Linked DNA regions of Oryctolagus cuniculus. The protein of the gene in region 1 purifies or fractionates together with the protein of each later gene. This does not show direct contact. Links are inferred from orthologs where the notes say so. Each region holds a gene or a part of one and is shown in the gene's direction. Other genes may lie near its edges. The genes, in order: NOP56, EBNA1BP2, BRIX1, GNL3, SNU13 and FBL.

What was found.
Region 2: the proteins of NOP56 (region 1) and EBNA1BP2 purify together in Homo sapiens (affinity purification with mass spectrometry; 4 studies listed by BioGRID and IntAct, with this or other methods). This does not show direct contact. The link is inferred for Oryctolagus cuniculus from reciprocal best matches to the Homo sapiens genes NOP56 and EBNA1BP2.
Region 3: the proteins of NOP56 (region 1) and BRIX1 purify together in Homo sapiens (affinity purification with mass spectrometry; 3 studies listed by BioGRID and IntAct, with this or other methods). This does not show direct contact. The link is inferred for Oryctolagus cuniculus from reciprocal best matches to the Homo sapiens genes NOP56 and BRIX1.
Region 4: the proteins of NOP56 (region 1) and GNL3 purify together in Homo sapiens (affinity purification with mass spectrometry; 4 studies listed by BioGRID and IntAct, with this or other methods). This does not show direct contact. The link is inferred for Oryctolagus cuniculus from reciprocal best matches to the Homo sapiens genes NOP56 and GNL3.
Region 5: the proteins of NOP56 (region 1) and SNU13 fractionate together in Homo sapiens (co-fractionation; 3 studies listed by BioGRID, with this or other methods). This does not show direct contact. The link is inferred for Oryctolagus cuniculus from reciprocal best matches to the Homo sapiens genes NOP56 and SNU13.
Region 6: the proteins of NOP56 (region 1) and FBL purify together in Homo sapiens (affinity purification with mass spectrometry; 6 studies listed by BioGRID and IntAct, counting the BioPlex papers as one, with this or other methods). This does not show direct contact. The link is inferred for Oryctolagus cuniculus from reciprocal best matches to the Homo sapiens genes NOP56 and FBL.

What each region holds. Positions count from the first base shown.
Region 1 is NC_091442.1:28,154,559-28,159,281, forward strand, and holds the start of NOP56 (nucleolar protein 56), read left to right. Parts: upstream 1-1,487; 5' UTR 1,488-1,593; coding exon 1,594-1,596; intron 1,597-1,759; coding exon 1,760-1,849; intron 1,850-2,132; coding exon 2,133-2,247; intron 2,248-2,978; exon of another isoform or gene 2,979-3,050; intron 3,051-3,142; coding exon 3,143-3,304; intron 3,305-3,395; coding exon 3,396-3,594; intron 3,595-3,658; exon of another isoform or gene 3,659-3,793; intron 3,794-3,922; coding exon 3,923-4,110; intron 4,111-4,190; coding exon 4,191-4,342; intron 4,343-4,479; coding exon 4,480-4,580; intron 4,581-4,642; exon of another isoform or gene 4,643-4,723. UniProt on the Homo sapiens protein: Involved in the early to middle stages of 60S ribosomal subunit biogenesis. Required for the biogenesis of box C/D snoRNAs such U3, U8 and U14 snoRNAs. Part of the small subunit (SSU) processome, first precursor of the small eukaryotic ribosomal subunit.
Region 2 is NC_091438.1:129,849,059-129,853,706, forward strand, and holds the start of EBNA1BP2 (probable rRNA-processing protein EBP2), read left to right. Parts: upstream 1-1,685; 5' UTR 1,686-1,937; coding exon 1,938-2,003; intron 2,004-2,086; coding exon 2,087-2,170; intron 2,171-2,321; coding exon 2,322-2,491; intron 2,492-2,631; coding exon 2,632-2,755; intron 2,756-2,768; exon of another isoform or gene 2,769-3,582; coding exon 3,583-3,672; exon of another isoform or gene 3,673-3,899; intron 3,900-4,648. Other genes in the region: CFAP57 (cilia- and flagella-associated protein 57), read right to left, coding at 1,207-1,363. UniProt on the Homo sapiens protein: Required for the processing of the 27S pre-rRNA.
Region 3 is NC_091445.1:60,577,145-60,581,791, forward strand, and holds the start of BRIX1 (ribosome biogenesis protein BRX1 homolog), read left to right. Parts: upstream 1-1,301; 5' UTR 1,302-1,337; coding exon 1,338-1,496; intron 1,497-3,437; coding exon 3,438-3,549; intron 3,550-4,647. Other genes in the region: cell cycle checkpoint protein RAD1, read right to left, coding at 356-553. UniProt on the Homo sapiens protein: Required for biogenesis of the 60S ribosomal subunit.
Region 4 is NC_091441.1:97,041,261-97,046,144, reverse strand, and holds the start of GNL3 (guanine nucleotide-binding protein-like 3), read left to right. Parts: upstream 1-1,621; 5' UTR 1,622-1,748; coding exon 1,749-1,761; intron 1,762-2,306; coding exon 2,307-2,365; intron 2,366-2,788; coding exon 2,789-2,926; intron 2,927-3,040; coding exon 3,041-3,154; intron 3,155-3,358; coding exon 3,359-3,442; intron 3,443-4,046; coding exon 4,047-4,179; intron 4,180-4,219; exon of another isoform or gene 4,220-4,296; intron 4,297-4,844; coding exon 4,845-4,884. UniProt on the Homo sapiens protein: May be required to maintain the proliferative capacity of stem cells. Stabilizes MDM2 by preventing its ubiquitination, and hence proteasomal degradation.
Region 5 is NC_091442.1:117,646,803-117,651,458, reverse strand, and holds the start of SNU13 (NHP2-like protein 1), read left to right. Parts: upstream 1-1,350; coding exon 1,351-1,353; exon of another isoform or gene 1,354-1,475; intron 1,476-1,534; exon of another isoform or gene 1,535-1,663; coding exon of another isoform or gene 1,664-1,666; intron 1,667-4,656.
Region 6 is NC_091449.1:14,150,877-14,154,775, forward strand, and holds the end of FBL (rRNA 2'-O-methyltransferase fibrillarin), read left to right. Parts: intron 1-644; coding exon 645-777; intron 778-1,737; coding exon 1,738-1,850; intron 1,851-2,742; coding exon 2,743-2,888; intron 2,889-2,975; coding exon 2,976-3,000; 3' UTR 3,001-3,081; downstream 3,082-3,899.

The sequences.
Region 1 (4,723 bases):
GTTTGAAGTTTGGAAATAATGAGGTAAATGGAAAAACGGATGTCACAGCACTAATATGTTAATATTAAAGCATCCGTTTAATTTGGCGCATTCAGCGTAGGGAAGTCTGTAACAGATGATTTTGCAATTCTGTTTTAAAACGTGAAATGCCCTGAGGTAGACTCCCGATCCTCAGTCGGTATGAGCGGCAAACTGAACCACATCAGCAGGCAATGTTGAGACTGAAGAGCCAGGGACTCCATTTTAAAATAATAATAATAAAAAAAAGCAGCCTCTGTTTCCGTAGCAGACCCGAGTCTTTGTAAAAGCATTCAGGCATTCCAGACATCAAAGCTGGAATGGACAGCTCAGAAGAAACTGCTAAATAAAGTAGCTCCCTGAACCCAAGCCAACCGGAGACCCCCGTTCAATTAAGAGCAACTCCGTGCTGTAAGCCCCCGCTGATGGAAGCCTGTGGGTGTTTCCTTTAACTCTCCCAAACGAAGACCGGGGCCTCCCTCCTAACTCGGCTGCGCAGGTGGGTTGGTTGGGGTCCCAGTCGCGGCTTGTATTCAATAAACCTTGCTTTTGCATTTCGGTGTGATCCACTCCCTGGGGGGGGGTCTCTGGTGATCTGCATTTCGGTGTGATAGACTCTCTAGGGGATCTAGTGATCGGGGCACAACAGAGATTATTATGATTAAGAGGTCCTGACCACATGGAACCCCAAAAGGGGGAATTTGTCAGACGGCTGAGGTCCACTAAAGCTGTGAACGCGCCTGCTAGTTGCGGCTCAACAGCCCAAGGTGGAAGGGCGTGCTCGTCCTCCCTCGGGGTGGCCAGGCCTGGCTTGTTAAGTTCATTACTTAGCGCGGCTGCAGCATGGGGAGTCGTCGCCCAGAGACCCCCAGAAGCGGCTCCCGGGCCTCAGGGCCGCGAGCAACACCCGGCCGGCCCCGGGCCAGCGAGACCGCTCCACGAGGACTCGGGGTCGGGTCGCTCCGTTCCTACACTACCGACCGACACTCATCCGGCCCTAGAACTAAGTTACATATAACTCGGCAATGCGGCTGCGAGGAGCCACGTTCGCGGCGCTGACGGCGCCAGGGCGTCCCGCGTCCCGGAGAGGAGACAGCGCGCAGCCCACAGAGCTCGGGGCGCTGTCCGAGAGTGGGCGCCGGGAGCGTGGGCGCGCGGGCGGGCCTGGAGGCCGAGGGCAGCCACGCGGCGTGGGACGGGCTCTGCGCCCACGGGGATCCTCCTGCCCCCGCTTCACAAATTACGAAAATACGGGCCATCGGACCATTATCCGAAAAAGCGCCCCTCCACGCAGGCCTGCGGCCTGCAGGGCCTTACCGATCCCGCGTGTCCCGGGCAACCGCGCCCGCCCGCGCAGCCGCAGAGACCGGAAAAGGCCGGTTCGTCCGCGCGCCGCTCCACCGCGACTCGCGCTCTGGGCGATACCACTCCCAGAGGACCCCCTGCGAAGGCTCTGAGATAGTGCCGTCCTCGGCCTCTGATTGGCCGACCCGACGGGGGGCGTGTCCTCTGGAGCCTGGTTCTGCGCGCCAGAGCCAGAGAGCCGCATTGCGAGCCGGGCAAGGAGCAGGCGCCATGGTGAGGAGTGGTTGCGGGTCGCGGGCTTGTGCGGAGGCCGTGGTCTGGGCCTGGATTCGAATCCGAATTCGAATGCCGGAGCCCGGGCCTCGGTGTGTCCTGGGAGTGTGGCCGGGAGAACGCAGGGGCTGAGCTGACGGCCGCACCCCGGCTGCCGTTCCAGGTGCTCCTGCACGTGCTGTTCGAGCACGCGGTCGGCTACGCGCTGCTGGCGCTGAAGGAAGTGGAGGAAATCAGCCTGCTGCTGCCGCAGGTGGGTGGTCTCTGTGGGCGCGGGGGGCTCGCCCGGCTGCGCTGCAGCCCCTCGGTCGCGCGCCCCCGGCATGCACCGCGCGCTCCCACGTGGCCGGCCGCGCGGGCTGGAGGGGCCGGCCCGGAAGACTGCGGGGCGGGGGTCCTCAGCCCGTCGCGTGGCCGGGGTCGCGGTAGGAGCCATTGGAAGTGAGCGTCCCAGAGCAGAGCCCGGCCCCGGTGCGTCTTCCTGGCGCCCGGGGGCTGACGTCGGCCGCCGGCCGCGCCATTCATTGTCTCGGCAGGTGGAGGAGAGCGTGCTGAACCTGGGCAAGTTTCACAACATCGTGCGCCTCGTGGCCTTCTCGCCCTTCTCCTCGTCCCAGGTCGCCTTGGAAAATGCCAACGCGGTGTCGGAAGGTGAGTCGGCGTCGCCGCCCGGGGTCAGCTGGCTTGTTGTGATTAAGGTGCATTTCACGCATGCAACCCACGATGTAGGCTTTGGTTTCTTTGAGCATTGTAGTTAGCGATCAGTGGTGTTTTTTCTGGTGGCTGGTTTAACCTGCACGTGTGCCCAAGTTTGCCTAGACACGATTAGTTGTCTTATTAATTTTCTGCTGTGTCTTTTAATCTGTCGGAAGGGGCACTTTTGATAATTACAAGGGTGTTGGTCCCAGAAGGCAAATTGGGATAGGAGATACTATTTGAGAGGTAGAGATATAGACAGGGAGAGACCGAAAGAAAGATCTTCCATCCGCTGGTTCACTCCAAATGGGGCCCAAGGACTTGGGCCATCTACAGGGAGCTGGATTGAAAGAAGAGCAGCCGGGACTCGAACCGGCGTCCATAGGGGATGCCGGCGCTGCAGGCGGAGGCTTAGCCCACTGCACAGCGCTGTACAGCAGGACCTCCCACGCCAGTCCAGACTTGGTTTAATGAGATTTCAGTTGGTGACTTTTGTAGTTACTATACGGTTTCTTCGTTAGCTAATGTCTTAAATTGCCTTATTCATAAATTGGGCTTTATCCCAGGTATGTCTGGGAAACACACATATCTGGGGTCTGGGATCCACTGGGTGTCCCCTGCAGTTGAGGTGTGTGTCCCACTTGGGCTGTTGGCCTGTGTCCTGTTTCTCGTGGTTCAGCCAGGCTTTGCAATGATGACTCAAAATAATCTGTCAATCCCCTGAGTCCTGTCACTGATGTCTCCATGTCTCTGAGCAATGCCTGCAGGGAGGGCTGGGCCACACACGCCCGGGGAGGCGGGATCCCTCGGCCCTCAGCCACTTAGTGGGCGCCCTGCTCTTCGTCCTGAGGTGTCGTGCACGAGGACCTCCGCCTGCTGCTGGAGACTCACCTGCCGTCCAAGAAGAAGAAAGTGCTCTTAGGGGTTGGGGACCCCAAGATTGGTGCCGCCATACAAGAGGAGCTGGGCTACAGCTGCCAGACTGGAGGCGTGATAGCCGAGATCCTGCGCGGTGAGGCTTGGCTAGAGCCACGAGGTCGCTCCTGGGAGGGGCCCGGGGTGCCGGAGCTGGCTCGCTCACGCTCCCGTGTCGGCTGCCCCAGGAGTCCGTCTGCATTTCCATAATCTGGTGAAGGGGCTGACCGATGTGTCTGCGTGTAAAGCCCAGCTGGGCCTGGGCCACAGCTACTCTCGGGCCAAAGTGAAGTTTAACGTGAACCGGGTGGACAACATGATCATCCAGTCCATCAGCCTCCTGGACCAGCTGGACAAAGACATCAACACTTTCTCCATGCGCGTCAGGTAACAGCCAGAGGCCGCCCCTCACCGCGAGCCTCTGCAACGCCGGTCGGGCGAGTGTGGGCTGGGCCTCCTGGTGCTTACCACAGGCTGTGTTCTTACACTGACTGTATAGAAGGAGGAGGCAGAGCAGGCCCTCCCCATGTACACCTCAGCTCTGGCCTCATCGTGCCTGGGCTGTATTGTGAGTGGGGGGACAAGGCGTTGAGGGGACCGGCATTGGGCTTGTCCCTGTTTGCTCCAGGCCGAGTTGGGTGGCGAGGGCTGAGGCGGGTGCGTTTGTGGCCTTGCGGCAGCTGAGCCAGAACCAGGTGGGACTGTGTCTCTGCAGGGAGTGGTACGGCTATCACTTTCCGGAGCTGGTGAAGATCATCAATGACAACGCCACGTACTGCCGCCTCGCCCAGTTCATCGGCAACCGAAAGGAGCTGAACGAGGACAAGCTGGAAAAGCTGGAGGAGCTAACGATGGATGGCGCCAAGGCCAAGGCCATTCTGGATGCCTCCCGGTCCTCCATGGGTCAGCACAGAGCCTCACAGCTGGTACGGGGGGAGGGCTCCGAGCAGCTGGCACCTGCACTCACACTGGGGTGTTTCTAGGCATGGACATCTCTGCCATCGACTTGATCAACATCGAGAGCTTCTCCAGCCGTGTGGTGTCATTGTCTGAGTACCGCCAGAGCCTACACACTTACCTGCGCTCCAAGATGAGCCAGGTGGCCCCCAGTCTGTCGGCTCTCATTGGGGAAGCGGTATGTCACAGGGAACAGGAGGGGTGGGGGTCGTGCTGAGGGGATGCGTCATCCTGCACTGCTCGCTGCTGGCCACCAGGGGGAGACGGGGAGCAAGTCCAGCTGGTCTCTGACTTGTTCCTTGAACCTTTCTCCAGGTAGGTGCCCGTCTCATTGCTCATGCTGGCAGTCTCACCAACCTGGCCAAGTATCCAGCATCCACAGTGCAGATCCTTGGGGCTGAAAAGGCCCTGTTCAGGTACCAGTGAGGGCACCTGCCTGTACTCAGGTGCCACTTCTGGTGCCCACTGCTTGTTTGGGGATCACAGTGATGGCTGACCAGGGCTCCCTGACCTGTGCAGGCCTCTGCTATGGGGGTGATGGCCAGTCCTGGTGTCTGAG
Region 2 (4,648 bases), on another chromosome or scaffold:
AAAAATGATTTGACAAAAGTCTTCCAGTATTAGAATGGATGATGAATATATTTAAGGCATTATTCTCATATGATGGAGCATTATATGAAAGTAAAATGAACTCAGTTAAATATATCAAGATGCACAAATCCCAGGGCTGGCATTGTGCCACCTGCAGCAGAGGACAGCCCGAGTGTCTGGGCTCCGGCACCCACGTGGGAGGCCTGCAAGAAACTCCTGGTTCCTGGTTTCTGCTTGGCCCAGCTCTGGCCAATGCCACCATTTGAGGAGTGAACTTGCAGATGAAGATCTCTCTCTCTCTGTCTCTAACTCTCTCTGTGTCTCTTCCTCTCTCTTGTAACTCTGTCTTTCAAATAAATAACTCTTAAAAAAAAAGATACACAAATCTCAAAAGCATAGCACTGAATGAAAGTAGCAAGTCACAGAATATGATTTCATTTATATAAAACTGGAAAATGGCAAAAAAAATATATATCTTGTATAAGGTTACATATATTTGGTAAAACTATATTGAAAAAATGGAATTATTACAAAATCCAAGATGGGATGTGCCTGTGTGGGGGGGCGGGTAGAGAAGGAATTGGGGAGAACTGGAACTGGCAATGTTCTGCTTCCCATCCTGAGTTCATACATCTCCGTTTTACTGTCATTGTTTATATATATTATATATATATATAAATATATATATGTAGCTGTTCTTTTTTGTGTATGTATGACACAGTACCAAGTGCTGAAGATAACAGAGTAGGGAAAAATGATTAAAGAAATCATGACTACCACCCGCAGGGACAATGCAATCAAAATCAAATGCTGTAACATTACACAAACAGGATGAGATTTCCAGTATTTTAAACACACATGGATTCAAAGGGTGCTGTATAGAAGGTGGTATACTCTGGGAAACTGGGCTAGAGAGCTCAGAGAGTGCTCTGGTCATGGTAAAAATGATACTGAAAATGCACGAACAGATTCATCAAAGTAATTCTTTTAATGAAATTACAGTGAAAAAAGTACTTTTAAAGGAACACTATTTTATGTGCGATTTTAACCGGGAATGCAAGCCAACATTCATGCCCGCCACATTCATAAAACAGTATGCACATTCAAGTTGGCCAAAAAAGGTCCTTCCGGGCATCGTGCTGGGGCTCTCGGACGACACGTGGCACTTACTTTTAACGCGTGGGTCTGGATGGAAAGGGTTTTTACCTGGAATGAATTTTTGCCATTTCTGATCCACATTGTACTTCACACAGTGATTTCCTGAAGGAAACATAACGGTCTGCTCGTCGAAGAAGAAGATATTGTTGGCTACGTGAGCTCGAAGTCCAAACACATGCAGCGACTGGGCTACCACGGAGGACATGGTCCCGGGTCAGAGCGCTGCGGGGACCGAGCGCACAGGTGAGACGGGGAACGCCCCGCCCCGGACCCGCCCCCGCCCGCCCCGGACCCTGCTCTCCCCTCGCGCTTCCCCGCCACCCCGCTCCTCTTCCCGTTTCCTTCGCTCCCTCGCGTTTTCCAACTTCTCCCCACGATCCAGGTACCCCCTCCCACCTGGCGCTTCTCTCTGGGTCACCAGACCACGTGCCTCTCCAGAAGTCTTACCCCCGACTGATCGCACGCAACTCAGGCCCTTCCGAACGCGGAGCCGTTCCTATAGCAACGACGTACCGGAAGTATGAGCCAGCGACCGGAACAGGAAGTGCCGATCAAAGAAAAAAAAAAAAAAAAAAAAAAAAAAAAAAAAAAAAAAAGCCCGAGCCGAGAGTTCGAGAGTTGTGGGCGCTCCGGCCCTTCGAGCCCACGTGGAGCTGCGGTGTGAGAGGAGCGGGTGACGCCCTCAGCGGCAGCGGCAGGGACGCGCGTGGCCCTCGGCCAGCCGCGGGGGCCTCGAACATCCCGCTTCTTCGGCCCGCCTTAGGCGTGCGTGCTGCGGGATGGACACCCCCCCGCTCTCGGGGTCGGACTCGGATTCTGACGAGTCCCTGGTCACGGACCGGGAGGTAAGTGTCGGCCGAGCTCGCGGGGCTGGGAGCCGGAGCCGGCGCCTTGCCCGGCTGGTGCTGACCGCGGCTGTGTCCTGCAGTTGCAGGATGCGTTTTCCCAGGGGCTCCTGAAGCCAGGCCTCAATGTCGTGCTGGAGGGGCCGAAGAAGGCCGTCAACAACGTGGTGAGTCCAGAGCCGGCCCGGGGGCACTGGCGCTGTGCGTGGGGCCGAGTCGCGCCTGCCGGGGTGTCGGGGCTCAGCGCCCTGTCCGCCGGCCTGGGGAGGGACGACTTCAGGCTTCCCTCCTGACGACTTCAGTGGCTGAATTTCCTAGAATGGCCTGAAACAGTGTTTGGCCGAATTCAAGCGGGACCTGGAGTGGGTGGAGAGGCTCGACGTGACCCTGGGTCCGGTGCCGGAAGCCCCCGGACCGCAGCCAGCGCCTCCGAGCAAGGACCAAGGAGCCCTGAATCCGGAAGACGACTTCCAGCGGGAGATGAGTTTGTATGTTTGTTTTCAAGTGGGGGAGGGGCGGGGGGCCTTGTGCTGGAGCCTCAGGGAGAGGGGAAGGGAGTCAGACGCAGAGGCAGGGAGAGGGAATGGCAGGCCCCACCGCCCCTGTCTCACTTTGTCTTCCATCTCAGCTACCGCCAGGCCCAGGCTGCAGTGCTCGCCGTGTTACCCCGCCTCCACCAGCTCAAAGTCCCTACCAAGAGGCCCACCGACTACTTTGCCGAAATGGCCAAGTCTGATCAGCAGATGCAAAAGGTAGACAGGGAAGTTTGTCTCTGGAAAGCCAAGGCTTTATCTGTTCTACAGATTGTTTACTTCCAGTCATGCCAGTCACCACCAATTAGATAAATGCAAGACTGGCATTTGGGAAAAGGACTGTAAGAAGTGTGGTCCCCAAGGTAAAGAGGGCCTTTTGCATTTCCTGGAATGGCCATGACGTGCTGTGTATAGAAGACAGCACATCTCTTGTCTTGCCATTACCAGTGAGGAGTGCTGTCACAGATGATGACTTTTCTCTGGGCCTGTTTTCTCTTCTGTGAAACTTAAGTTTGGTAGAACTTGGTTCTCACTTAACTTTGGGAGGGAGAGAATTGCTAACATCTAATCCAAGGTAAACTGAAATAGTTCTTTGGGCTTCATGCTGGATTTTAGGAGCTCTTGTAAGCCAGACACATCTGTACATTCATATGGAATGTGTGCGGTTGATGGAAGAGGCCAGGCACCTTCTTTGTCTGCTGGAGACTTTATCCTGTAGGTGGTGTTAGAGAAGGGCACGGAGGCTGCTCGCTGTTTACCCTCAGTCTGCAGACGGTAGAGAATGCTGGTGTTCTTTCTTGGGCTGCAAGTAGACTGTGTGCTGGAGTAAATGGCATTGACGAGAAGGTAACTTCCAGGCTGGAGTTCCACCGCTGACACTCTTTGGAACCTTGCACACTAAGTGCTTGTCCAGAAAGCGCTCCGTTGGAATAGGTGATTTACATGTTCTGCAGTTGGCAGAACTGGGAACGTGTTTCCTGTTGCTCGGCTTCCTTAGTGGTCACCCCACTTTCACACACATAAACTGACAACGTTTTTTGTTTTAGATTCGACTGAAGCTGCAGACTAAACAGGCTGCCATGGAGAAGTCTGAGAAGGCCAAGCAGCTGCGAGCGCTTCGGAAATACGGGAAGAAGGTGAGAGATACATGGGGACAGGGCGAGGCGGGGTGTTTGTCAGGTCCGATGGCTGTGGTCTGATCGAGTTCCATGCCCTGCATGCTTGATCATGGGCTTCCTGTGTCATGGTGGCGTGTGTGTGCTCGTATTTGTGAGCACAGTCTTACCTCAGCCCCAGGGCAGGCCCAGGACTCTGTGACAGCACATGAACCTCTCCTTCACCCTCTGGGCTAAAGCTTCCACATCTATGGAGGAAAGAGTTGGGGGTCAGATCAGTGGTGTCCAACCTGACCTCACAGCAAAACGCCCCGGGGGAATTTTGTTTCTGGGCTTCAGACTCTGGGAATTTGTGTGTATGTTTCTCTCATTCCCCCAAAAACTTACCAGGTGATGCTGATCTGTATCTTTGTGATTGATAGGCCTAGACGATTGTCAAGTTCTTGAAGGAATAATACTGTTACCCAGTCTGAGAGACAAAAAATAGCATTTGTGTGAATGACATTCTAATGTCATCCTGAGTTCTAACATAAAACCAGATCAAGCACACCATCAGAGCGTGCTTGGTTTTCCTTTTTTATTTTATGGGCTCCTAAAGAACACAGGAGTTAAGTGAGGATTGCAGGAAGAAATGAGCATGAGGAAGATCAGCATGAATCTTGGAACTTTGTTGGTGTTTTGGACATGAACACTGTGATGAGGCGTGGACGTTTCCACAATTGGGGTCACTTCCCTGATAGTTTTCAGCACAGAGTAGACTAGAATCTTGTCCCCTGTAAAAGGTTTGTTGTTTCTCTGATCTGGAGGTGAAAGGCTGAGATCATTGCAAAGATCCCAGCAGTCAGTTTAACACATTGTAATTTGTCAAAGCAAAGAAAATCTTTTTTAAAATTTCTTTATCTGGAATTCAGAGTTACAGAGAGAGAGAGAGAGAGAGAGAGAGAGAGAGAAAGATTTCCCATCTGCTGGTTCACTCCCCAAATGGCCACAGAGGCTG
Region 3 (4,647 bases), on another chromosome or scaffold:
TTTTCTAAAAGGGAAATAGCTACTAAAGAGCATATAGTCTGGAAACAAACATTTGGGGTTCTTATCTCAACTGTTGGGACTGCTGGCAAATCGATTAACTGTTTGCACATACGTAAAACGGGAGCAACAGAAGGTGTGGGGCTACCGTGAGGATCAGATGAGCCGAACACCTAGAGGACTGGCTAGCCTAGGGTTTAGCTTTCTAAACGTCAATCATTATCATTATTCACCATTATCTCTGTTAAGATGGGGAAAGAATGTTTCCAGGAGAGAAGACACCTTAAACGCCATTCTGTTTTCAGACTTAACTTGTCTACTGAGACCTTTCTCGGGCTGGAAGGCGCCCGTTGCGTACCTGGATGAAAGCGTTGGCTTGCACACACTTCGCATTTTCCACTGTGACTCGGATTCCATTCTTAGTAGCGAAGCAGGTGGCGTGCTCGCGGAAGTGAATGGCTTTCAGGATCGTGGAGAGGTTCCTGACGTTGTCCAGGCTGGCCACTAGGCTGTACTGGACACTCTCGTCCTGGATCCGCTGGGTGAGCAGCGGCATCCTGCCTGGCACCTGGGGCCCACACCCGCTCCCGAGGATCTCAGAGCACCTGCCGGGGGTCGGAGATAACGTGGAAGGGGCCAGGCGAGGCGCCACTGTAACTGTGACCCTGCGGGGGATTCTTGTCTTCCCAGTGCGGACGGTAACACGGGGAAAGTAGCTTAGAACGAAAACACGCAACCCACAAAGGAGGTGCACTAGGGGGCCAGTCACGCCACTTATCCCCGGATCCGCTCGGGCCACCTCGCGCCACCAACCTGGCTTGCAACCCGACAGGCAACCGGGGTGGGGGCGCTCGGGTCCTATGAGTTTCTCCCAGAGTCCGAGACAACCAGTTCAGCTGCCCGCGGGACAGCACCCGCTTCCTAGGGCCGGGATCGCGAGCGCCGGAAATCCTACCCTTGTAGAGGGGGCCAGACACCCGAGAGCCCGGCCCAGCCTGGACACCGAGCAGGAGAGCTGCAGCTCCCGGAATACCACGGAGCGGGCGGCTCAGCTCCCGCCACTATCTTCAGACCAGCTCTCCGCTTCGGCCACCGTCACCACAGAGCTGGAGGAGGCCTAGAGAGTCGCACGGCGGCACCACCGAGATCGGAAGTAAGCGCCAGAGAGTCGCGGAAGAGCCATAGAGGAGAGCGAGCGGTATCATCGAGACCGGAAGTAAGCGCCAGAGAGCCACGGAGGGGCCATAGAGGAGCGCGTGCGGTACCATAGAGACCGGAAGTGGAGCGAGCGGTGGAGTGGGGGGAACCGGAAGAAAAGCCAGTAGTGGTGTCGAGGCAAGATGGCGGCCACCAAGAGGAAGCGGCGTGGAGGGTTGCCGGTGCAGGCGAAGAAGCCGAAAAAAGACGACAGAGATGCCGGGCCGCAGGCAAAGAGTGGCGTCACGACAGAAGAGGTGGAGGAAGAAAACAGAGACCGTATCCCCGGCCCCGTGTGCAAGGTAGAAGCGGTTACCGCTACGCCGGCGGCGGCGGCTCCACGCGCCTTCCCCGGGACTCCCTAAATCTCTCTTCCTTTCGGAGTAGCTGGGGTGTTGGGGGAACCCGTTCCCAGCAGTGCTCTTGGACGGTTTGTGCATGATGTGTGCACCTAACTCGTACGCGCCGCCGTCCTCGTTTAGGCGGTGGGCTTTGGAACCCTCCTTACCCGGCGTAGGGGAGAACTCAGCTCAGGTGTTTCCATAGGCTTTTCCTTGTTCTTTTCTACCTCTTTTGGAGGGTGTGTTTTTGCGAAGTTGTTTCGGTCTGTACTGCCGTGGTCGGCCAGTGTCATTTGGGAACCCTGAAGCTCGCCTTGGGAACCTTTGGAAAGTTGTTCGTGGGATGAGGCCTTTGACGCCTTGATCTGGGTCTTGAACTGAAGGGATAGTGAAAAATACGTTAGATCGTATAGCTGTCTCACCAAACACGCTTCTAAGGAGCCGTGTGCGACTGTCCAGTTAGGCTTCCTCTGGCTTGAGGGATTGCAAGGCCGACCAGCGTGGGACCTCTTCCCCCGGAGATGCTGGCGGTCAGGAGAAAACCAAGAATGTGCAGGAGCTGATGGTGGTGGTCCAGAAGATGAGCACAGGTTTCGGAGTTAGCCTTCAGCCGAGAGAATTCCCTAAGCAAAGACGGACCCTGGGGACGTTAACTTCTGTGTCCCCCGTGCTTAGTGGTAGCCTAGCCGGTAGTCGGTGTCGGTGACGTTTGGTGCTGGTTTCTCATCTGCAGATTAAGAGGAGCGAGATACTTTTGGGGAGGAGTAAACTGGGCCTCTAGATCGTCAGTAAATGGGAATGCTCTCCCTCCTCCTTTAAGGAGCTAGGAAGAAGTGCGGTCATATCTAAGTCACGCCGTGGTGCCGTCGGTGGCAATGCGAGAGAGTGAGATCGTTTTTACCCTAAGATGAGAAGGAATCATGGAGAACTTAGCCTTTGAGCTGGGTTTCAAAGGGAAGGGGAGAATTTTGGTCCGGAATGAGAGGGAGTAGTCCGAGGGAAAGCTGAAAGAGTTGATTAAAGGTGTTGAAGTGGGTAAGAGCCTGAAAATCTGTTTTTCTTGAAAGAAGGGTAGAGAGAGATTGGCCTAAGCCTGGAGTTGTTGTGGAGCAGCGGTTCTGGAAAGATGAAAACGTGGTTTAGCCCATTTTAGAGTCCAGTATTAAAGCTGCCTTATTTTTGGACTTGTTTAGAAACCATGGGAGGTAGGGTGAGTGAAGCTGTGCTTAATAAAGCTTTAGCTGCTGCGGTTGGCTGTGTCAGTTACAGGAGCTCCTGTCTAGGAAGAGGGGCCATTGAAGAAATTTGCAGTTGATTCAAAGTTATAAGGACCTAAGTAAGGTCAGTGTGGACAAGAAAGGAATAAGAATTACTGCAAAGAGAAGTTGGTAGCATTTATTTGTGCTGATGAAATGGAAAATAAGCACCAGTGGAAGATTCAGCAACCTCAGTCTGAAGTAAACACTGCCTCTGAACTCAGCACGTACAGGCTTTTATTCCTTGTTATTCCCTAAACAATACAGTATAACAACTGTTTCTGAAGCATTTACATTTCATTGGGGATTATAACTAATCTAAAGGTGATTTAAAGTCTACAGGAAGTGCACATACTCTTGCCATTTTACATCAGAAATTGGAGGAAGAGGGGACTGGAACTAATCCTCTGAGGGTGCTGGGGGTGACTGTAGATTTTTCTGGCTGGAAAGAGTTCCTTACTCTCCTGTAGAATTGATGATTGAAGCTGTCTAGATAGAAGCGCTCTGCGATGGAGAGAACAGAAATATTAAAAAGAGAGTAAGAAAGCCTTTAGGGTTGGGAGAAGGAAGTCAAATAGCTTCTTAAACAATACTAAGAGACAAGATAGGTTTGAGATTTTAAAAGTTCACTCGCTCTTTTTTTTAGGGCAAGTGGAAAAACAAGGAACGGATCCTTATCTTTTCTTCCAGAGGAATAAATTTCAGGACAAGACATTTAATGCAGGACTTGAGAATGCTGATGCCTCATTCTAAAGCAGGTAGCTTTGATATTATATGCTTTCAAGACTTGTGTCTATAACACTGCTTCTGTGTGTTTAACTTCCATGTATATTGACTTACACAGTGTTGTCAGATAAAGAACCACAGTACCTCTGAAGATCCAGGGGTGCCTTCATAAAAATGCTGTTGGAGGTCATGAGATAGTGGGATTATTTGACCTTTTAAAGGATTCAAGCCTGCTATGTGTTGCCTTTTTTTTTCTTTTTTCTATGTTTAGTTTCATCTACTTGAAACACAAAGCAACAGAAAAAGAGATCTTCCATCTGCTGGTTTGCACTCCAAATGCCCACGATGTCTAGATTGGGCCAGGCCAAAGCCAGAAGCCCAGAGTTCATCTGGGTCTCTGTGGGCATCAGGGGCCCAAGCACCCAAGCCATCATCTGTTGCTTCTCAGGGTACATTAGAAGAAAGCCGGGTTGGACATGGTGAAACTGGAACTCTAACTGGCAGCCCCACCCATATGGGATGCTGGTGTCCCAGGCAGTGGCTTAGCCTGATGTACCACAATGCCCGCCTGAACCTTTTTTAAAATCTTTTTTTATTAAAAAAAAAAAAAAAATCATAATCCTGGAATAGGATTTAAAACACCTTTAGGTTGGGCTTAATCTGTTTTATGCCAAGTTATTTTTTTTTTTTTTTACCAGTTTTCTGTAAGTAAATGAAGAATATCTAGTTTTGAATTTTGGATAGAGGCAGTACCATTGTTTAATTGATTTTGTGCCTGTGTTAAGAGGTGCTTTTGGTTTTAATTGGCTGAACTTTGGTTGTAATTTAACTTAGTGTTTTTATCAGTGCTTTCAAACTGAAATTACTGGAATATCTTTAGATATTTTAAACTACTAGAAATTTGAATTTGTTTACACTTTTTCTGTAATTCATAACTAAGTTTTTAAATCCATTTTCTTCCACAACTCTGATTCAAAATTTAGTATATTAAAAAAGTTTCTTAATGACTGTTTCCCCAAACTGGTTCTTTGAACAGTTCTATGAGAATTTTTCCATTTTTGAAAGGATTCAGGCTGCCTAAAGTCTGAGAAATACTGCTTAAACCATAGTTGATAATTCTTTAGGATTGT
Region 4 (4,884 bases), on another chromosome or scaffold:
TAATACATACAAGCTTTAGAAAAAATACCAGGAAACCTAAGACTCAAATCAAAACTTAAAAAAAAAAAAAAATAGCACCCATAATCCTACTTCCCAAAGAAAAACTACTCAAATTTTGTGCTCAGAGCTTTTGGCATTCATCTATGCTTTAATAGCCTAATTTCTTTTAAACAAAAGTGTTAACAAACTCTATTATTATTATTATTATTATTATTATTATTATTATTTCATGGCCTCTGTTTTAAGTTAGGGAAGATTCTCCCAAGCTAGCGTTCTTCCTCATGATGTTTGATGTTTTGAGAGCAGTCTATCACAAAGATATAAAATTTATTTATCCAGGGAATTTTGGCAGAATATTAATATTTGAAGTGCTTTGTACACTCCCAAAGTCAAAGAAAATGGTCAAACTCCTTCCATTTCTCCAGACACATATTTGTTTCAGTTTTAATCTCAAACACCTCTTCAAGAGGTACTTTCCAACCTTCCACTCTGGATCTTAAAATCCAGACGGGCAATTCGCTAACAAAGAACAAAAGCAAAGATTTACTATTCTTTTATACTGGCATTGAGTACAGCCTGCTTCCCAGATTCGGGGGAAAGCGCAGTAACGAATGGAAAAACTCCAAGACCGAAAACCATTTGGAGTCCCAGTGTGGAGGAAAGGAACACGTTTTACTCCAGCATATGCCACTCCACCGCGTATTTGCCATTGGTTTTCCAGGATTCTTCCCTGTCTTTGCCGCTCTTTGTTCCTCTGCACATCGACTCTTATTCCTTCTAATAACCAAACTATGCTTCCCTTTCAGAACGTAAAAAACTTTGATGGAAAAATATTGTTTAAAAAACAACAACAGGCTGTTTTCAAACCGCGATTCTTTGTAGTGCAGCGAATGAGAAGCTGAAACACTTGATGTTTAGCCCCTACTCTCAAATACAAGTCGCAGTCACAAAAATACTCGGTCTGAACCGTCGCCCAGAAAGATAAAACGCGTCTCCTAAGCAGAGTTTGCTGTTGAGCCCTCAACAAACAACAACAAAAACAGGCCCTAAGCGGCGGCGCAAACGGAGGACCTGGCCGACCTGTCACTGGTAGGGGACTAAGGGAAACGTTGACAGCTTTGAAGCTGCCGGGCGACGAGCGGGAAAGCGGCGCGCGGAGTTTCCGGGCCGCAACGCGCCTTTGTCCCGGCCGGCAGGTGCGGCGAGGCTGCGGGGCCCGTCCCGAGGCCCGCCGCCGCGCCCCGCCCCGCCCGCGCGCCCGGCCCGACCGGCGCGTCCCCACGGCCGGGGCGGGGCCTCCGCCGCGGCTCCCGCCCGCCCGCCCGGGCCCACACAAAGGCCCGGCGGCCGGCCGAAGGGGAGCGGCCCCGCCCGCCCCGGGCCCGGTCTTACCCAGCCGCTCCGCCGTCTGCAGCCCCGGCCGCGGTCGCCGACCGCCACGCCACGCCCCGTGGCCGCCACGGCTGCTGCTATTGCTCCTCCGGCCGCGGCCGCTGCCGTCGCTCCGGCACCCGCCGCCCTCACCGCCCTCACCCCTCCCAGAGCCGCCGCAAAACCAGCCTTGCTGCCGCCAAGCGAGCCTGGCTCCGCGCGACACTGCGTGCGCGCGCACGCGGAGGAGAGAAGGCGCGCTTTACGACGGTAACGTGACTGCGTGACGCTGGTTCGTGGCCTCAGTTCACACGTGGCGCTCGCCGAGGAAGGTTGCTGCTGCTTCGTTCTCTGCCGCCGCGGTTTCCGCAGCCAGCATGAAGCGGCCCAGTGAGTGGGATCGGCAAACGGGCTTGCAGGCGCCTCTTTTTCTGGTGGTTCCTGAACGCACCAGGGCGTTGGTCTCTGGGAGGTTGGGGCCTGCTGGTGGGCCGTTGCCCTGCTCCCGGTATAACCGAGCGTTGGGCGGCCTCGTGTCCATCCTGTTAAGCCCGGGCCGAGGGTGGAGAAGATCACGCCATATTGTCAGGAGACCGCGACCGAGCCAGGTGGCAGGCCGCGTGCGGGCGGGCTCGCTGAGCCGGGGAGCCGCTTCCCAAACCCACTGTTGCTCTCCTGCTTTATGATCCGTGGAGCTTACACGAAGTGGCAGTCGTTTTGGGACTCGTATACTGCTCTATGTGATTTCCGTCTAACACGGAAACAGCAGGGATTTGGGGCTCCGTTCCGGATCTGGGATTTGAGAGTAGCATCTGTGTTTTTATTCAGCGCCCCACATGATTCTTAACGTTAGATTTGACATAATACACAAGGGTGTGACTCTAGTTCACTCACGGAAAACTAAACCAGGCCGTGTGTTATGTGTTTCTTTGTAGAGTTAAAGAAAGCAAGTAAACGTATGACCTGTCACAAGCGGTATAAAATCCAGAAAAAGGTAAGTGTTGCGCTTGGGAGAGCTGTACTGAAAAAGGCTGTTAAGCCGACTAATGCCCTGGCTCTCCCTCATCGAGAAGTCTGGAGTAAAGATGGAGTCTTCGGGAGGTGGAACAGGATGGACTGACCAAGCACAGCACAAGCTCTCAGTGATCAGGAGTGCAGCTTTGGGAGGGCGCAGTGTTTGGTGTACGGAAGCCTGGGAACTTCCACGTAGTCATCTCTGCAAGGAGAGCCTCCTAGTGTCGTTCTGTTGCTGTTTTTTTAAGTATATATTTTGCTGTCTGTGACTCCCATTAAAGATCCGTTTTTCTTGGGGCATTTACAGGCATGACTAGGTTGTATGCATATTGGTCTCTTACTTGAATTGTGTTAAAGTAGAAAGGTATTTTTTGTAAACTGATTAAATGTCTTGTCATCATAGATTCGAGAACACCACCGAAAATTGAGAAAAGAAGCTAAAAAACAAGGTCGCAAGAAGCCAAGGAAAGACCCAGGAGTTCCAAACAGTGCTCCCTTCAAGGAGGCCGTTCTGCGGGAAGCTGAACTAAGGAAACAGCGGGTAAGCTGCGGTAGCCCAAACTTGGAGTAACTGCGGAGGGGTGGGTGCATTTTTTTTCAGAGGGAGCTGTTGCCAGCAGTCACTGGCTTAACCTGTCTGATGTGTTGGACACAGCTGGAAGAACTAAAACAGCAGCAGAAACTTGACAGGCAGAAGGAGCAGGAGAAGAAAAGAAAACTTGGAAGCAACCCTGGTGCTAGGCCGTCTGACGGGGAACCTGGCAAGGAGGTGAGAGTGATAGATGAGTTCTGATGCAGAACTAAAAGCATGTACAGGGGCAGGGGCTGGTGAGCCTCGAGGAAGAGGAGTGATTCCGATTCTGTCTTACACAATATCACCTGCAGCGCCTCAGTCGGCTGTGCGGATACAGGTACAGATTACAGCTGCTGCACTGCTGGTTTTTATGTCTTTTCCCCCTTCTCTGTTTTCTAGGCACTTGGACAATGCGCAGCCAAAAACAAAGCCAAGTCCCGCAAGCAGAATCCAAAGAAGTTACATTGTCAGGAGCTTAAAAAGGTATCTGAGTCGTGCTTCGGCAGCACATATACTAAAAAAGGTATCTGAGTCTAGGTCAGTGCCTAAAAGTGGTGAAGAGGTTAAAAGACAAAGCAGCAGTCAAGTTCACTACCTAAGGCCTTGTTATGTTTAGCTGACAGCAGTGTGTTGACAGTGGTTTTAAGTTTGAGGTAAGCAGTGTGAAAATGCCGGTCTCTAAAGTACTCTGTTGAAGCTTAAGTGATGGAAATGGAGAAAGGTGGTGGTGTCTTTTTGGTGTAGTTGCTCCCCGGGCTCTCCTCCCTACACCCATTTCCCCAGGGTCATTCCCCTCCAGGTGACTCTGCCTCTCAGTAACTCCTGGTGAGGTCAAAAGGGTTGGCCAGACGACAGGATTCCCTACAGAAATGAGAGCAGCAAACAGTAGAGGGTATTTCTGCTTGTGAAATCCACGCTGCTGAGCAAGACTATTGGTTTTACTTCTGGGTGAGAAATGATGAGCATGTCAGTATTCTTCATACCAAAGTGAAGACATGAGATCCAACTCTGAGCTCACCATATCGCCCAGTGGATGGTACGGGTTCCCAAGGCAAGGGCTGCAGTTGGGGCTGTTCTGCCCGGACAGGTGATCGCTGCCTCGGACGTCGTGCTGGAGGTGCTGGACGCCAGGGATCCTCTCGGGTGCAGGTGTCCTCAGGTCGAAGAGGCCATTGTCCAGAGCCAACAGAAGAGGCTGGTGCTCGTGTTAAATAAGTCAGGTGAGCACAGGGGCTGTCCTTCCTCTCCCATTGCATTACTGAGGTATGAGGAAAATATCTGAACAGTCTGATTGTTGTTGAAGACTGGTAAGATCCAACTCTGACCTCAGCAAAACCAGAGCAAGTGTCCTGTGGCTGGGCAGTGGGCTTTCCGTGGACTTTGGCTGTTCGTTACTACCACCTTGTTTAGTTTAAGAATATCCGCTTCTGTGCTCTGCTTATCGTGCAGTGTAGCTGTCATACAGAAAGGGATGACAGTGCCAAATTCCCCCACCTGCACAACTATTAGTTTTCAACTGAGATAATATGGAACGTATTCGACAAACCATTTGAATGAAACAGAATTACGTACAGCAGAACAGAGATGGTGTGAAACAAAGTGGGAGAGAAAAATGGCTGCTGGCTGGGGTCAATGCTGGAAACGCTGCTCTAGGGTTGGTAGGGTTGGAACCCAGACCTCTGCCTCAGTCCCAGAACGAGCAGTGCGGGGAGACCTGAAGCACACGGTTGTAGAGACTGGGCGCTGTGAGTCATGGGCAGCGCGGTGGGCGCTTCTGTCCCTTCTGAAGAAGCTGGGGAAGGGCAACCAAGTGAAAGCTCAACTCTGCCAAATTCTGCAGTCATCTCACTCACATGACCAAATTCATACCCCTAATTCCTGTCAGATCTGGTACCAAAGGAGAATCTGGAGGGCTGGCTGAACTA
Region 5 (4,656 bases), about 89 Mb from region 1:
TCGAGGAGGCTGTCTTGGGGGTGGTGAGGCATGAGTTCAGCCATAAATAATGGAGATTTGGGGAAGAATTGAGAAAAGAGTGAGGTTCTGGCTATTAGAAAGTAGGTGTCCTGGCCAGTGCTGTGGCTCACTTGGCTAATCCTCCGCCTGCGGCGCCGGCACCCCGGGTTCTAGTCCAGTTGGGGTGCCAGGTTCTAGTCCCGGTTGCTCCTCTTCCAGTCCAGCTCTCTGCTGTGGCCCGGGAGTGCAGTGGAGGATGGCCCAAGTGCTTGGGCCCTGCACCTGCATGGGAGACCAGGAGGAGGCACCTGGCTCCTGGCTTCAGATTGGCGCAGTGCACCAGCCACAGCGCACCGGCCGTAGCGGCCATTTGGGGACTGAACCAACAGAAAAGGAAGACCTTTCTCTCTGTCTCTCTCTCTCTGTCTAACTCTGTCAAAAAAGAAAAAGAAAAAAAAAAAAAGTAGGTGTCCTAAGATATTTCACACTCAACCTGACAGAAACTCAACTCCTACTCCCTTACCCCAAATCTGCTCTTCCTCCTGATTCCTCATTTAATGGATTCTAATTCAGCCTCCATCAGGGACGCTGACAAGAGATGTGATGAGGAAGAACATCTGAAATTGCCTGTGGGGCCTACGCTGTGGCACAGCAGGTTAACACCCTGGCCTGAAGCGCCAGCATCCCGTATGGGCACGGGTTCAAGACCCAGCTGCTCCACTTCCCCTCCCGCTCTCTGCTGTGGCCTGGGACAGCAGTGGAAGATGGCCTAATCCCTGGGCCCCTGCACCCCCGTGGGAGACCCAGAGAAGCTCCTGGCTCCTGGCTTCGGATCAGCACAGCTCCAGCTGTTGTGGCCACCTGCGGAGTGAACCAGCGAGTGGAAGGCCTCTCCCTCTCCTCTCTCTGTGTAACTCGGACTTTCAAATAAATAAATAAAAAATAAAAATAAATTGCCTGTAATTTATCTCTCCTCACCAGGGTAGGGTCAGAAAGACAAGCGCAAGAATGTGCCCGAAAGTGAGCTGGCGCTGGAGTAGTAAAACCTCTGTCGCCCTTTCTTTTCGATGATTAACTCACTTTGTGCCCAAAATTTATAAAACGCTAATAAAAACAACAAGCATAGGGTGCCTCACAAGCGGGAGGCCGCCTCCGCGACGGCGCCCCCTCGTGGCCGAGGTCCGCTCGCCCGTGTGACGCCACTTCCGCTTCCGCCCGCTCGTGTGACGCCACTTCCGCTTCCTGCCGCGCGTGGGCGCCACTTCCGGCTTATTTTCTGGGCAGTTTCCGGCTTCTTCTTTGACGTCGGCGGTTGTTCGTCGCGAGTGGCGAGCCCGCGGAGCCGCAGCCATGGTGAGTGCGTGCGCCGGGCCTGCGGGCCGGGAGCTGGGCACCCCGGGGTTTCGGCTCGCTCGCCGTCCTGCCGGGAGGTCGGGAAGTGCGCGGGCTCGGCCGCCGGGCTCCGGCTCGGGCTCGGCCGCTCGGCCCGGGGTTGGAGCCCGGGCAGCCGCAGGGTCCCGGCAGCCCCGGCCCCACGTTAGAACTCGGGAAGCTCAGGGCCGCCCGCTGTGTCGGCGGTGTTTGCAGCTGTCCGTTCCCCTGGCCGGAGGCCTCGGTGAGCCCGGAAGGGGCAGAGCCTGGGAAGGAGCAGCCCACGTGGGCGATGGTAGAAAGTTGTTTTTTTTTTTTTTTTTAAATGGCTCCCTTCTTTTTTCCTTTCTCTTTTTCCTTATCTTTTACGATCTCTAGGGCATGGCTTAGCCGCCTGGACTCTGGATCACCGTCTTCTACCCAGCCCGCCCCTTTCCCAGTGCTGGGGGCTCCGGAGACGGAGTTCTCCCTTGGGTCCGCGCCCAGAGCGGGCCGCGGGTCACGTGTGCCGGGGATTAACGGGGCCCCTGGCGTCTGGGGGCGGTGGGGAGTGTGGAGTGACCTGGGGCGCGGGAGAGGTTCAGGCTGCCAACCTCGAGCCACCGCGTGCAGCTCCTCTGAGCCCCTGGCTGTCGGCAGCTTTTCTTACTAATCGCTTAGGGAGAGTCCGGGTCGTGGCGGTGGTGTGGCGGGCTCGGGTCGGCCCTTGGTGAGGAAGTGGAGTCCATAGTGGGGTTCAGTCATTCCACGGGAGCTCGGATCCCTGGGGGGCTGCCTCCCCCTCCCGCCCGTCGTTTTGAAGCTCGTGTGTCGGAGCCAGGGCTCATCTGAGGCAGGTTTGGGATCGAGTGATCTCGGGTTGAACTCCGCAGCTTACCTAACTGTACAGTGGGAGGACCGTGCCTGTGGACGCGAGGGTCCGATCGGGACTGAGCGCACTGTGAACAGGTAGCCCCGAAGCCGGGCAGGGAGAGCGAGCACCGGCCGCGCGGGTCCTGGGAACTGCGCTGCTGGCCGCCTGCTGTGCCAGTCCCTGCGCAGACTAGATGGTTCAGGTCAGTTGCTCCACGTCGCCCAGGTGGAAGCAGATCCCTCTACAGTAATAGTAAATAGAAAGTGGTCACTTGTTACCAGGGGTTTCCCGCGTCAGCGTCACCACAAATCCCCCGCCTTGGATGGCTGCAGAGTTGCCATGGCTACAGGACCACCAGGCTGTGGGCGTTTTCCAGCTCCATGACGGTTTTATGGGACCACACAGGTGTATGAGGTTGATCGTTGACGAGAAACTCAAATGTTATGGGGCGTGGCTGTGTTTGTTGAATCAAAACGTGGTCGGTTTTGGCTGTCTGGTGTAGGGATTTAAATTGGCTGGCTCATTTACCCCTTACACGTTGGCAAGTTTGCATTCGTGTTTGTAAGCTGGGCAACTTGGTTTTAGAGTCCCATCGTTTCTGTTGACTGATGGTAGAAGGTGAAGGTTTTTGTCGTGGGTTCTGAAGTCGTCCTCTTCGTGCATTTGATGTCTATGGAGAGTTGAGAACCCTGGTTTGCAGAGTGGAAGTACTCAGCGAGGAGTGACTGGATCTGAAGTGCTGACTCCCTCATTGGGAAGAGGGTGGTGTGCTGAGCATCTGATAAGTTACGGGCACGTTGACTTCTCAGGTAACCACAGAAGGAATAGAAAATGAGAGGATGGAGTGGCAGGCGCTATCCTGACGCCTGAGATGCCCGCATCCCGCGTTGGAGCGCCTGGGTTCATTGCCCACCTCTTGGCGGTGTTTCCAGCCTCCTGTTAATGCAGACGCTGGGAGGCAGCAGTCCACGTGGAAGACCTGCATTGAGCTCTCATTTAGGGAGTGAGCCAGCAAATGGGAGCACTCACACTCTCTGCCTCTGAAATAAATGAAAATTTTCCCAAAGATTTATTTACTTAATTGAAAGAGTTACAGAAAGGGATTGATCTTCATCTGCTGGTTCATTCCCCAAATGGCCACGATGGCCAAGGTTGGACCAGGCCATAGCCAAGAGCCAGAAACTGTTCAGGTCTCCCACGGGTGACATGGGCCCAAGCACGAGGCTATCTTTTGCTGCTTTCCCAAGCATATCAACAGGGAGCTGGATCTGAAGTGGAGCAGCTAGGACTCAAACCAGTGCCCATATAGTATGGGTGACTCCATTTTTGTTTTGTTTAATTAATCTTTTTGTTGTTAAGTCATGAGAAGTTTGCTTTTTTTTAATTAATTTATTTGAAGAGCAGAGTGACAGAGATCTTTCATCCACTGGCTCACTTTTCAAATGGCCACAACAGCCAGATCTCAAGCACCTGGGAATTCAGACTTTTCAGGGCTGGCGCTGTGGTATAGCAGGTAAAGCCACCACCTGCAATGCTAGAATCCCATATGGGCACTGGTTCAAATCCCAGCTGTTCCACTTCTGATCTAGCTCCCTGCTAATGGCCTGGGAAAAGCAGTGGAAAATGGCCCAAGCGCTTGGGCTCCTGCACCTACCTGGGAAACCCAGAGGAAACTCCTGGCTTCAGCCTGGCCCAGCTCCATCCATGGTGGCCATCTGGGGAGTGAACTAGCAAATAGATTTCTGTCTCTCTCTGTAGCTCTGCCTTTCAGATTAAATAAATCAATCTTAAGAAAAATCAGAATGTGGGACTGGGGCTATGGCACAGTGGGTTAAAGCTCGCATCCTGTATGGGCGCTGGTTTGAGTTCTCGCTGCTCCACTTCAGATCCAGCTCTGCTCTGGCCTGGGAAAGCAGTAGAAGACACCCAACTGCTTCGGCCCCTGCACCTGTGTGGGAGACCCGGAAACTGGCTTCAGATCAGCCCCCAGCTCTAGCTATCGTGGCCATTTGGAAATTGAACCAGCAGATGGAAGACCTCTGTCTGTCTCTGGCTCTAGCTCTCTCTCTGTAACTCTTTGAAATAAATGAAATCTTTTTTTAAAAAATTGTTTTAAAAAGAAGAAGCATATTATGAAAAAACCGTATGTATGGATCTCAGAAATTTTTGCTAAGCTTATCTTTTTAATTCTACTTTTCATAAACTTTTTTTTTTTTAAGATGTTTTATTTATTTGAAAGGCGGGGTTACAGAGAGGCAGAGAGAAAGAGGTCTTCCATCTGCTGGTTCACTCCCCAAATGACTGCAATGGCCAGAGCTGAGCTGATCCAAAGCCAGGAGCTTCCTCTGGATTTTCCATGCGAGTGCAAGAGCCCAAGGACTTGGGCCATCTTCTGCTGCTTTCCCAGGCCACAGCAGAGAGCTGCATCGGTA
Region 6 (3,899 bases), on another chromosome or scaffold:
GTGCCCGGGCCCTGGCGTGTGCCCCTGGACCTCTGCGCCTTGGCTCTCTGCTTTTAAGCTGCTGTTGGGAGCCTGGGCTCCCAGACCAAACAAATCAGGATTAGGTAGCCCTGCTGTTTGGTGGAATGACCCTTGGCCAGTAGCCTCAAGTCTACCCGTTTCAATGTCTTCATCCGCAAAATAGACATAGTAACAATTGCCAGTAAGTGGTAGAGTTTTTTAGCTTTTTTTTTTTTTTTTTTTTAAGGATTTATTTATATATTTGAAAAAGTTACAGAGACAGGTCTTCCATCTGCTGATCACTCCCCAAGTGGTTCCAATAGCCAGAGCTGAGCCAGGCCAAAGCCTGGAGCTTCATCCCGGTCTCCCACGAGGGTTTTGGGCAGGGGCCCAGACACTTGTCCCATCTTCCCCTGCTTTTTCCAGGCCATTAGCAGGGAGCTGGGTCGAAAGTGGAGCAGCCAGAACATGAACCAGTGCCCATATGGGATGGCGGCTTCACCCGCTACGCCATAGCGCCGGCCCCAGTGGTCGTGTTTTGATTTGAGGGTTGGAAGAGGTGCCGTGTGTCGTGTCAGGGCCCAGAGCAGGCTGTCCGTGCTGAGAGCTGGCGTCACTGCTGACGGTCACATGACTTCCTCTAGGATGGGCTGGTCTACGCAGTTGAGTTCTCCCACCGCTCTGGCCGTGACCTCATTAACTTGGCCAAGAAGAGGACCAACATTATCCCCGTGATAGAAGACGCCCGGCACCCGCACAAATACCGCATGCTCATCGGTGAGCCGTCTGGACGCCGGCCCAGCTGGGTGGGACAGGCCTCCAGGTTTCCGGGTTGGGCCGGCAGAGCCTGGCTCCGGATGGAATTCGAGTCGATGCGCAGGCCTCATGAGTCTACAGGAGTGAGAGGGGCAGCGGGAGGCAGGCGAGGCTGCAGAGGCGGCGACCTGGCCACGGGGCCCCCTCCTCTGCTCTAATCTCCCCTTCCTCAGGGCCCCTGTAGCCTCCCCAAACCATGGCCCTTTCCCCACTGCCCTGGCTTGCCAGGAAAGCCTCCTTCAGGGTCCTTGTCGGCACCTGGTGAGATCCTCGCCCAGCCAGCACACACTGGGCAGAGCCTGGCCTGGGGGGCCTCTTGTGAATGGGACAGCTGTTGTTTTAAAAAAATTCTAAAGCAGGTGTAACACGGGCTCACAGGGGCGGCGCCCTCTAAAACCACCCTGGAGGTAACTGATCGGAACGAGCAGCCCCTGCCCTTTCCAGTTCTGAAGCTCAGTTTTCATTAGGTCACATCATCGTCTATTTTGTTTCTTTTTTAAAATCACACCTTACAGACTGCCTTTCCCTCTACTCCAAGCTTTTCCCTGGGCACGCTTCCCACTGCCCTGTGCTGCAGGCGCGCTTGCCCATGAGTGATCACCCTCTCTCGTCTTGATGACACGTCCATCAACCCCTGCCCCCGGGTCTGACTGGTCTCTGTGTCCCCCACGCCCGGGTCTGAGTCGTCTGCGTCCCCCACGTCTGGCCCAGGGCTGGCCACAGGGAGGGGGCAGCCATGGTTCTGAGAGTGAAGGAATGATGCGTGACTGGATTCTGAGCCCATCTCGGGGTGCTGTGGAGGGAGGGGGTCAGTGTGGGGGGAGGGAGACCTTCCAGGGCCTGCTGATGGTGCGCAGGCCCCCCGGGAGGAGCTGAGCTCTTGGGTGGGTCCAGCTTTGACTGGCAGCCCTTTCCCCGTAGCAATGGTGGACGTGATCTTTGCTGATGTGGCGCAGCCAGACCAGACCCGGATTGTGGCTCTCAATGCCCACACCTTCCTGCGGAATGGAGGACACTTTGTGATTTCCATTAAGGTACCAGGCTTGGGGGAGTCGAAGGTGGGCTGGCAGCGTCCCAGGGAGGTGTTTTCTCTGCCAAGCAGCCAGTCAAAACAAGGGGACTGGGGTGGTGTTTAGCCTAGTGGTTAGATGCCCATGTGCACCATATCAGAGAACCTGGGTTTGAGCCCCTGCTGTGATCGCTCAAATGAGTGGACTTCTGCCGCCCAGGTGGAGGATCTGGACTGAGTCCCAGGCTTCAGCCTCGGTTCCTGGCCACTCCCAGCATTTGGGGAGGGAACCAGCAAATAGCACCTCTCTGGTTGCATAGGCGATCTCTCTTTGTCTCTGCCTCTCAAATTAGTTGATTAAAAACCTTTTAAAGGCAGGCGGGCCTTGGCCAGTCTATCCCAGCTCCTCACAAGCCTCCCCTGCCCCCGGTCAGATAGCACAGCATAGAATACCTGTAGAACCCAAAGCGTGGCGTCCAGAGCCAAGGCGGCGTGGTGGCCAAGGGCACGGCCGCTGGGTCTGTTTTCCAGCGTGCTGTGCTGTGCAACTTCAAGCAAGCTGCTTAACCTGTGTGCCTCTGTCTTGTGAAATACACGTTTTGGCCCTATCTCAGGGTTGATGTAAGGATCAACTCAGTCTACATGGAGGGCTTAGAAGAGATACTGCACAGACGCTAGGTGCATTTTTCAGAACCATTTACTTTGCAATTAGAACGCGCGTAGCCGCCACCAGCTTCGCCACTTGCTGGCATTTTGTTGCCTGTGCCCGGGAAACTAGCTTTAGGTGACAGGAGGTTGCTAGGACTTCCTGCCGGGCCTGGGCCTGAGGCTGCTTAATGAACCAGGCTTCCCCTAGCGGCGCTGGCGGTGCTAGGCAAAGGCAAACCACGCGGGCTCTGGCTCCTTCCTCCCCGCAGGCCAACTGCATCGACTCCACCGCCTCGGCCGAGGCCGTGTTCGCCTCAGAGGTGAAGAAAATGCAGCAGGAGAACATGAAGCCCCAGGAGCAGCTCACGCTGGAGCCGTACGAGAGGGACCACGCTGTGGTCGTGGGCGTGTACAGGTGAGCCGGCGCCCGGCGGTCCTGGGGCCCCCGGACCCCCGAGTGGTGGCCAGCTGTAACCCCGCCCTTGTCCCCATCTGCTCACAGGCCGCCGCCCAAGGTGAAGAGCTAAAGTTCAGTGCTGTGTGGATGTCGAGAGATGCGTGTTGTGCCGTGGCTCCTGTGTTTTTCTATTAAAATGACTTCTCCGTGGTCCCTGTCTGCCGCTGATTGCGCCGTGACCGCGGTGGACAGCAGGGTGCATGCGCCCTTGGTCAACTTTGTGTGGCGGGCAGGGGAGGGAGGCGGGAGGGTCAGTCCGCCCCACAGCGCATGCTCTGTTCCGCGCTGCCCCCCCCCCCCCCCCCCCCCCCCCCGGGCAGAACGGGGATTCGGCTACTCGGGCGGGATTGGTAGTTCACTGCGCATGCTTGCGGGTGAGCACAGGAAGGGCGCATGCGCGGAGTATTACCCTGGGTCACGTGAGGGGGCGGACTGGGGTAGGGGCGGAGCCTGGGGCGGGTTGGGGGGGCGGTTTGTTGTGGTCGCCATTTTGCTGGTTGCATTACTGGGTAATCAGGGCCCTGGCTGGCCGTGTCTGCCGGATACCCTCAGCCAGTGGGCAGATCTGAGCTCGGGCCGCCCGAGCACTTTGAGTCCCCTTGCCCGCGCCCTCAGGTAACAACACGGGGACAGCCGGGGCAGCACGCGCTGCTGGGGGGAAAGACGGGATGGGATCCGCCCTGCCCGCGTAGCTTCGAGACTTAGCACGAGGCCGAGGGAGGAGAAGAGAGGAGGGGAGCGAGGTTCCGGCAGGTGCGGGCTGCGCTTGCCTATTCATAGTCCGATTCCTGGAAAAGGCCGGGCCAGGGGAGCCGTCTTGGGAGGAAGGCTGGGAGGGGGTAATCGGGCCCCACTCCCGCCCTTTGTTTGGGCTCGGCTCCGCCGGCCGCATCGTCGTTGCCTAGCAACAGCTGCCCCAGGCTGGGATTGGTTGAGCTCTTGGTAGCAGTGGCCAATGGCGCGGTTGTT